Oryzias latipes: one gene and its partner. The protein of the gene in region 1 purifies or fractionates together with the protein of each later gene. This does not show direct contact. Links are inferred from orthologs where the notes say so. Each region holds a gene or a part of one and is shown in the gene's direction. Other genes may lie near its edges.

What was found.
Region 2: the proteins of polr2b (region 1) and gpn3 purify together in Homo sapiens (co-immunoprecipitation; 3 studies listed by BioGRID and IntAct, counting the BioPlex papers as one, with this or other methods). This does not show direct contact. The link is inferred for Oryzias latipes from reciprocal best matches to the Homo sapiens genes POLR2B and GPN3.

Annotation. Positions count from the first base shown.
Region 1 is NC_019868.2:3,851,823-3,855,917, reverse strand, and holds the start of polr2b (DNA-directed RNA polymerase II subunit RPB2), read left to right. Parts: upstream 1-1,175; 5' UTR 1,176-1,291; coding exon 1,292-1,310; intron 1,311-2,420; coding exon 2,421-2,493; intron 2,494-2,794; coding exon 2,795-2,945; intron 2,946-4,095. UniProt on the Homo sapiens protein: Catalytic core component of RNA polymerase II (Pol II), a DNA-dependent RNA polymerase which synthesizes mRNA precursors and many functional non-coding RNAs using the four ribonucleoside triphosphates as substrates.
Region 2 is NC_019870.2:16,801,153-16,805,296, reverse strand, and holds the start of gpn3 (GPN-loop GTPase 3), read left to right. Parts: upstream 1-1,320; 5' UTR 1,321-1,435; coding exon 1,436-1,483; intron 1,484-1,639; coding exon 1,640-1,748; intron 1,749-3,982; coding exon 3,983-4,144. UniProt on the Homo sapiens protein: Small GTPase required for proper localization of RNA polymerase II (RNAPII). May act at an RNAP assembly step prior to nuclear import.

The DNA of each region.
Region 1 (4,095 bases):
GGAGGGGGATTAAAAGCTGCAACAATAGGACCGTTTGTGATGACTAAGCTTTTCCTCATCAAAGACTCCATTCACTGATGGTACAGAAAATAGATCGTTATAAAACTCTGGTTTTACATAAAATTCCCAACAGTACTAGAAAAAATAAAATCTCATTTTTAGACAATCTTTCAATCAATAGAAGAGTTTCTGCTTTTCCCTCCACTATGTAGCAGAGGGTTGTAACACTTACAGGCTACGTCTGTTTCAGATGGATCTGGATTTATACGTTATTTGGGTTCTACCATCTTCTTTTTTACAGAAACACCTTAAAACCTCTGATAGTGAACTTAAATAATGTTAGGAAAACGGATCAGATGTAAAACCTGCTGCATCTCTGCTCATGTTTTACTAAAAGCTTCACTTTCTGGATGTTTGTCAATTTGTTCAAATTTACTGTTAATTTTAATCAAACATACTTAAAATCCTTTCAAAAAAGTCCTGTGACTTCATTATTTTCTAATCAACACAGAGGAAAGGCTTCCGGCAGGAAGTGAAGTCCACTTGGCCTCTTGTTAAACTGCAGTGATTATTTTTTTATAGTTAATTTTATGATTCATTTTAAGTATTGAAATCATGGAATTATACAATAAAGAACAGAAATCCAAAATTTAAACAGATTAAATCCATTTCAGATAAAAAGTAATAATTGATAAGAAAAAAGATGTAATGAGATGATGCTATCATATTGACAGTGTGTTTATTCATAATTATAAATAGATGCTTTGCATTAATGCATACAGAACACATGCACGTTACATTAGACCATTAAGATGCACTACCAAGCGTCATTGATTATCAACAAAAACATTAGTTATAAGTTCACACATCCTTATATTTGGGATTTACATGAACACAAAATGACCTGTAAGTCCTCTCATCTCCATATTGAGAAACAAAAGTTTCCTTCTACAATTTCTTGAATTTATGGATATTTAAACATTGTAAGTTGAACACTGATTGAAGGGAAAACCTAATGATATTAGAGTAAAATGTTAAGTATCTATAGTTAGCTTTGATGTCTGATTTATTATTGTTACATTTGTTTTACTAACTGCACTTCGCACACTGCTGTTCTTGGCCTCAACCGCAGGGGGCGCTGTCACAGCAGATGACCGCCAAACACCGGAAACCCCGCAGAAAAAGAAGAAGTGTTTCCGGGTCTCTGTGTCAGGCTGCGCGCCGCTTCTCCGTGTTTTTGTCTTCTTTTTTCTGAAGCCGTCTTTGTTTTGAGGGATTTTCGGAAGCCATCATGTACGACCAGGACGAAGGTGAGGCGCGGATTCCACGCAGCGCCGTTAGAGCTGCGCGTGAACGCTCACGCATGGCGAACGTCTCCTCCATCCATGATCATGATGTTCCATGTTGTTCAACCAAAACCTGTCTGAAGCTTCTTTGCATGCAGCAAGTTTCTGGAACCGGACTTTCTGTAGTTGAACAGACTCTTAAAACCGAGACGCACGTAGTAACCAGGGGGGAAAAACACGCGTGGAAAACGAGCAGACTAGGAAACACGCAAATAACTTTAGTCAGTCCGGCTGGGGGGAAACATTAGCACTTTGTCGCGATATTTTGAAGTATTTTATGCCAAACCAGAAATGTTTGTTCACCAATATGGTCATCATTGAATAGTTGGAGAATTGAAGAAGAAGAAGACTGTTTTCTGGGAATGGGCCCACCACCCTCCCTGGTCAGTGGGATGCTGTGGGAGGTGACTGCCGTGCAGGAGCAGCGCCGCTCCACAGCAGCAGGAGCAGCAGCTGAGTGGCTTTAACATCTGTTCAGTCTGTTTGTTAACCTGTAAACACGCTCACTGATTCTGGTTAAGTGACTGTCCGAATAATCCAAATCTACAATTCCAAAATCCAGATCGCTAGAAATTTCCCAGAAGTCTCTGCGAAAAACCAGTGTGCCTTGATGGTCACTTGATTGGTGAATTTGGACCACAATGCATTGCGTTTGAACAATTTTTCATTTGAAAAAAAAGTATTTAAAGGAATTTCTATTAACCATCATCATGATGATGATGATGGTCATCATCAAACATGTTCAGATTTACGTCATAAAATGTCATATTTGCCATAAAAGAAAAGCAGTAAACATGGCTTTAATTGGCTTTAATAACCAGGGCAATAGATAGTTTTTTAAGTAGTTAGGATGTAGAGAAGGAATATGAACATAAACCCTCACTCCCTCTGTCATGATAACACAGTCATATACAAACAAACCTTTATTTGCAGTCCAGACCGATGACGGACACCCACCAAACTAACTAGAGCGTAACCCTAAGGAACCAACAGCTCAGTGTTGATGACCAGCTGCTGTCAGTTACCTTTAATGTCTTAGTGTGGATGTGGCCTCATCATTTCTGTGTCTGTTAGATAACCAGTATGATGAAGACGATGATGAAATCACCCCAGATCTGTGGCAGGAAGCATGCTGGATCGTCATCAGGTAAGCTCACCTGTCAGGCCCACTGTGACAAAACATGAGTGGGTTTCTGCTGCCGCACACGCAGCAGTCACGCAGTCACCAGAGCGTTCTGCATCAGAAACCCAAACTGCTGTTTAGATAGAGTTCAATAAAAAACAAAGGAAAAGTTGAACCTTTTTCTGATCATCTTTTACACTTTAAGCCTCTTCAGTCATCTCTTTTAATCATCGGTTCTGTGAGTTTCTGGTGCAGGATGTGACGCAGACGGTTCTGATCCGCTGCAGCTCTCCGAGCTCTTCCTGAACTGCTGTCTGTTCTGCAGCTCGTACTTCGATGAGAAGGGTTTGGTGCGGCAGCAGCTGGACTCCTTCGATGAGTTCATCCAGATGTCCGTGCAGAGGATTGTGGAGGACGCGCCTCCCATCGACCTGCAGGCTGAAGCACAGCACACGTCAGGGGAGGTGGAGGAGCCGGTGAGTCTGCGTTGGCTGGTTTGGGCTGCAGGTCCTTCAGTTTTAGTAGGAGCTTCTGATTTTTATGCCACATCAGGGCTCCAGACTAACTTTTTTCACTAGGAGCACTGTGGCCCCTAACTGAAAATTCTAGGGGCGCATACCGTAAATCAACATGCTAACCAAATCTATTCATTTCCACTGTATTACTAATAAATACTTTAATAATAGATGCAGAAATTAAAATGTGCTGTTTCAAATTCAGTGTCACATTTTATTCTTCACTTTTGAAGATGCAACAAGAAGGTAAACTGACAGCACCATCGCTGTCATGACAGTACAAATAGTAAAGAAAACAGATGGAAATTTATCTTTGTGACACCAAATAGGTGCAGCCAAGATGCACAATAAGTGTGTTTGAGATCACCCAGGTGAACTCAACGCTGCACAGATCACCTGGTGTGAGACATATATTTTTGTTTTTGCTCCAACATCAACTGTCAATCATCACAAAAATATCGCGAGAAAGGGGTGGGAGCAAGGGGCAAACCTACCCGGACACAGCTGGAAACTAGAGACTACAAAACAATGCATTATGGGACATGTGTCCTGATGGTTTTTGTAGTGGAGTGATTAATTAAAATAATTTAAAATACCAATTCATTAAAAAGGCTACATACATCACAAAACATTAAAATAATCATAAAATATATAATAACACAGATCATACTAAGGGGGAGAAGAATATTAAAACTAAATTGAATGTTAAGGACAACTCCAACTGTTGTCCTTCAGTCTTGCTGCAGATTCGCCTTCATCTCACAGTGCCCCCCCCCCCCCCCCCCCCCCCCCCCCCCCCCCCCGCCTGGTCTCCCTAACGATCCAGGCGAGGTGCCGGTTCATCTCAAACACGTCTATCGTTGCATTTTCCCCACGTATTTTCAGTGTGTCTAAAACTAATCTTGTTTTTGCTCGAGCGTGTTTAAAGTTCAAGCCCCGTTAGCTGTCACGCATGTAGGTGTGGGACATTTATTCTCCTCAGCTGACCCGAGTCCCGCGGGACGGGAGCGGTGTGCTGCCGTAACCCGTTTGATGCACCGCCGTGACCGTAACCAAAACCTAAACCTTCCTCCGGGTCTGTGTGACCCAGAGAAAAGTTCAGCATGGACTG
Region 2 (4,144 bases), on another chromosome or scaffold:
CAAATACAGAGCCTTATGCTAACAACAAACCTTAAGGTAGTTCCTGAAGTGAAACTATTTCATATCACGTAAATCGAAAGCACTGACGAAAATTAACATGAACGTGTTTCAGACAGCAAAAAAAAATACAACAAAAAAAGAAAACATTTGTTTTAAAAAATAGAAAAACAAAGACTTGCCATAGTTAGTAGTAGTAGTAGTACCTGCTAAGAAGTCCACCGTCACGCGGTAATGTCTGTACACAAACTTGGCCTGTTAACTCCATTCACTTCCTCGAAACATACTATTAATTTAAGCGCCTGATGAAGGACGCAATCAACAAACTTGGTGAGCAGGAAGGCTTGCATACGTTTCCAAATTTCACCTGATCATCGCATGTTGATGCAGTCACTTTCTACTTCTTACTCAATTTTGGTGGTTTCGTTTGTTGACAGCAAAGATCCCTGGGGCTCTACCGCTCCCTAACGGCCAGTTTGTGAACAACTTATTGTCATGATCTTTGCTTTAAGTTTCATGGTTATCGTGGTCATATCATAGGCAGTTTAAACGACTTGTTCAAATAAATACATATGGTTTTAATAAAGCAATTTTAAAGTTAAAGAGCAAAATTTTTCATTTCCTGGGGAAACTTAAAAAAATGCCACAACTGACACTGCCACAGAATTTGCGACTCAATGGTAATTGACACACAAAAAGAAAACAATTGTTGCACAGTATTTTCCTCACTATATTGGTTCAATGCTCATCATCAGTACATTCGTATGGAAGATTTCTGTAGTATATTTTAAAATGAAAGTCAATACCAGAAATGCTTTTTCAATTTTTAAAATGAAGCTGCATTTGTAATAATTTATAATAAAAAAAAAAACAATCCGACCAAACCACTTTTTCTTTTTCTTCTTCTTCAACACAGCTCATTCTGTCACTTAATTAAAATGAGAAAGAAAATGGTATTCGACATTTTTTACTAAATGTGTAGCATAATGTAATTAGAAATATCTTCTTTGATCATCAAAGTTTATTAACAGAAATGCTTTTTCATTTTGAAAATGTAACTGCATCAAGTGAATTAAAAAATAAAATTACAAACGAATGAGCCAATCTGCTTTTCTTTTTCTTCTTCAACACCGCTTATTCTGTGGCATAATTAAAGCGAAAATGCAAAGATGGGATTGCATTTTTGTTTTCACATCCACCGTGCGAAAGGTGTAATAATTCATCACCAGTTCATTCCATTGTGGCTCTTTTTCAGACCACTGTCACCCTGACTTCCATTTCCTCTTTTGATCAGTAGGTGGCAGTAATGAGCCTGACCGTAAATCATCTACCGGAGAAGAAGAAGTAGCGTCATCACACCGATGCGTATGGCATTACAAGCTAGCGTCTGTGGTTAAAGATACTTAAGATCTTTATCACACCGCATTTTTCAGAGAAAATGCCTCGCTATGCCCAGTTGGTGATGGGCCCGGCTGGTAGCGGAAAGGTATGTTTTCAAAAATGCCACTGGATGGTCTACAGCCTCTTGTCTGTTGTTGCTAACAGTACATGAGGTGGTGTCAGTCACCCAGCGTGTTTTTATTTTGTTATTGTGTTTTGCCATTAATTGTATCTTTTTAAAATATTATTATTAATATTTCAGAGTACGTACTGCTCCACCATGACCCAGCATGCAGAGGCTTTGAACCGCTCAGTTCAGGTGGTCAACCTGGATCCAGCAGCAGAACACTTTAATTACCCTGTTATGGCAGGTTAGTATGCTCAAAATGAACCGTTTGTGTCTCCAAATATGAAAACAAAAAAATTAAAAAACGATCATGTTGTCATGGTAATCCATCTATGACAGCAGGATGTCCTTTCTGACGTTGGTAAATCCTTGTTAAAGTCTTGAGATCTGTTGAACCTAATTTACTTTTGTTTAAAAAAAAAGTATTTTATTGAATCTTTAAGTTTATATAATAATAATAACAATATTAATAATAATAATAGTGGATTGGATCTTTCTGCGCTTTTCCAGACGCTTAAAGTGCTTATTATGTGTCCATTATTCATTCACTCCTAAGTCATATTATGGATACACCTCAGTATTGAGAGATAGAATGTTACAAATTAAAGACTTCATTTGTAAAGTGAAGTAGAAAATAAGTATTTGGTCAATATCAAAAGTTCATCTCAATTCTTTTGATAGAGGTCAGACATTTTCATTGGGTCTTCTCTTTTGGTCCATTTCTCCATGTAGATCTCCTCAAGAGCTTTGACGTTACTGAGCATCACAGACTTTCATCTCCCTCCACAGATTCTCTATTGGATTGAGGTCCACAGTCTAGCTAGACCACTCCAGAGCCTTAAAATGGTTCATATTTTGCCACTTTTGTGTTGCCTAGGCCAGTGTTTTTCAACATTTTTTGAGCCACGGCACACTTTAACCTTGACAAAGACACAGCGGCACACCAGCATCCAAAAAAAAACTCAGTCTGTATTGATCGACAGCCCCCCCCCCCCGCAATCTCACGTGCATTTTTGTGATAATTGGGGCAGAAAAAACAGGAAGTTGCAGCTGTTTTTTCTAAAAGATGAAATAAAAGTTAAGTTAGAAAATTCAAAAACTGTTTCATGTGTGTTTGTTGTGGTTTCAAGACATTTAACAAGGACGACTCATTGTACGCTAAGACGCTGTCCCTTTAACCCAGTGCATCGTGGGAGATGTAGTGTGAAAACTGCCGCAAAAGGGCAGAAGCTTCAATGTTTTGTTCACTTGTTCCACGGTCTGACACCGGATTCTGTGGAAAGCTACACCGCTAAAGACGACCTTTGGCTGGTATTTTTGTTAGAACCGAGAGACTTTATGAGCTAAATCGGGACAAGGAAGTGAAGACTTTAACCACTTCTGATTGGTCAGACTGATGACATGTGATTAAACCTTCAAGAATGATTGGCGGAGACAGTTAAAGGGGCGGGACTTTTCCTAAAACAGCTAAAGCTGCAGCCAAATCGCGGTACCGTCATTCTTATCAAAATGTCTTTAATAGAATCAAATAAACACAAAGAAAAAATAATTTTGTGATCTTTTATATTCCTAACTACTCAGTGTTTTATCAGGGCCTGTTTGGATGAACACAGAGCTGATTTCCTGGAGATGGGAAATGTTTTTAGATCAGTTAATGAGGGCAATTTCCCACGGCACACTGGACCATCTCCCACGGCACACTAGTGTGCCGCGGCACACTGGTTGAAAAACACTGCTCTAGGCAATGTGTTTGAGATTTTTGTCATGCTGGAAGATCCAGGCACATTTCATCCTCAGTACTCCCACTGAAAGAAGAAGTTTTCTTTTGCCCAAAATCTCTCCATTCATCCTTTTCGTAACAAGGATCAGTTGTAATGTCCAGTGAGCAGAAACACAGGCCCAATTCATGATGTTTCCACCCCCATGCTTCACAGTAGGTAATGTGTTCCTGGGATGTGAATTGGCGATCTTTCGCCGCAAAAAACTGCAAGTGGCGTTGATGCCAAAGAGTTCCATTTTTGTGTAGTTCTGGGCGGTTTCCTCATCGTTCTCAAGATCATATAGCAAACAGGTGACGTTAACACAGGAAACATGGAAGAATTTCTTAAAGAAGTAACAGGTCTGTGAGGGACAGACATCCTGGTCGTTTGTAGGAGATAAATACTTCTGTGGTACTTTTTGCACCACTGAATAAATAAATGATTTCAAAATCCTAAAATACAATTTCTTGGATTCTTTTTTTTTTTATTGTCTCTCTCACGGTTGAAGTGTATCTAGCTATGATGAACTTTAGAGACCTCTACCATTTTTAAGTAGGACAGCTTGCAGAATCGGTGGCTGACAAATACTTTTATCGCCCGTCGTTGAAATTAGAAGCAAAAGTAGATGATTAGTGAAAAGTGAGATCCTGCGAAGGTTGTTTTTTTAAGTCCGTTTCCAGGAATTAATGCCTTGTGTTTTTTTTTTTTGTGCTTTCAGACATCCGGGAGCTCATCCAGGTGGACGATGTCATGGAGGATGACTCTCTCAGGTTCGGCCCCAACGGAGGCCTGGTGTTCTGCATGGAGTACTTTGCTAACAACTTCGACTGGCTGGAGGAAAGCTTAGGTCACGTGGAAGACGATTACATACTGTTCGACT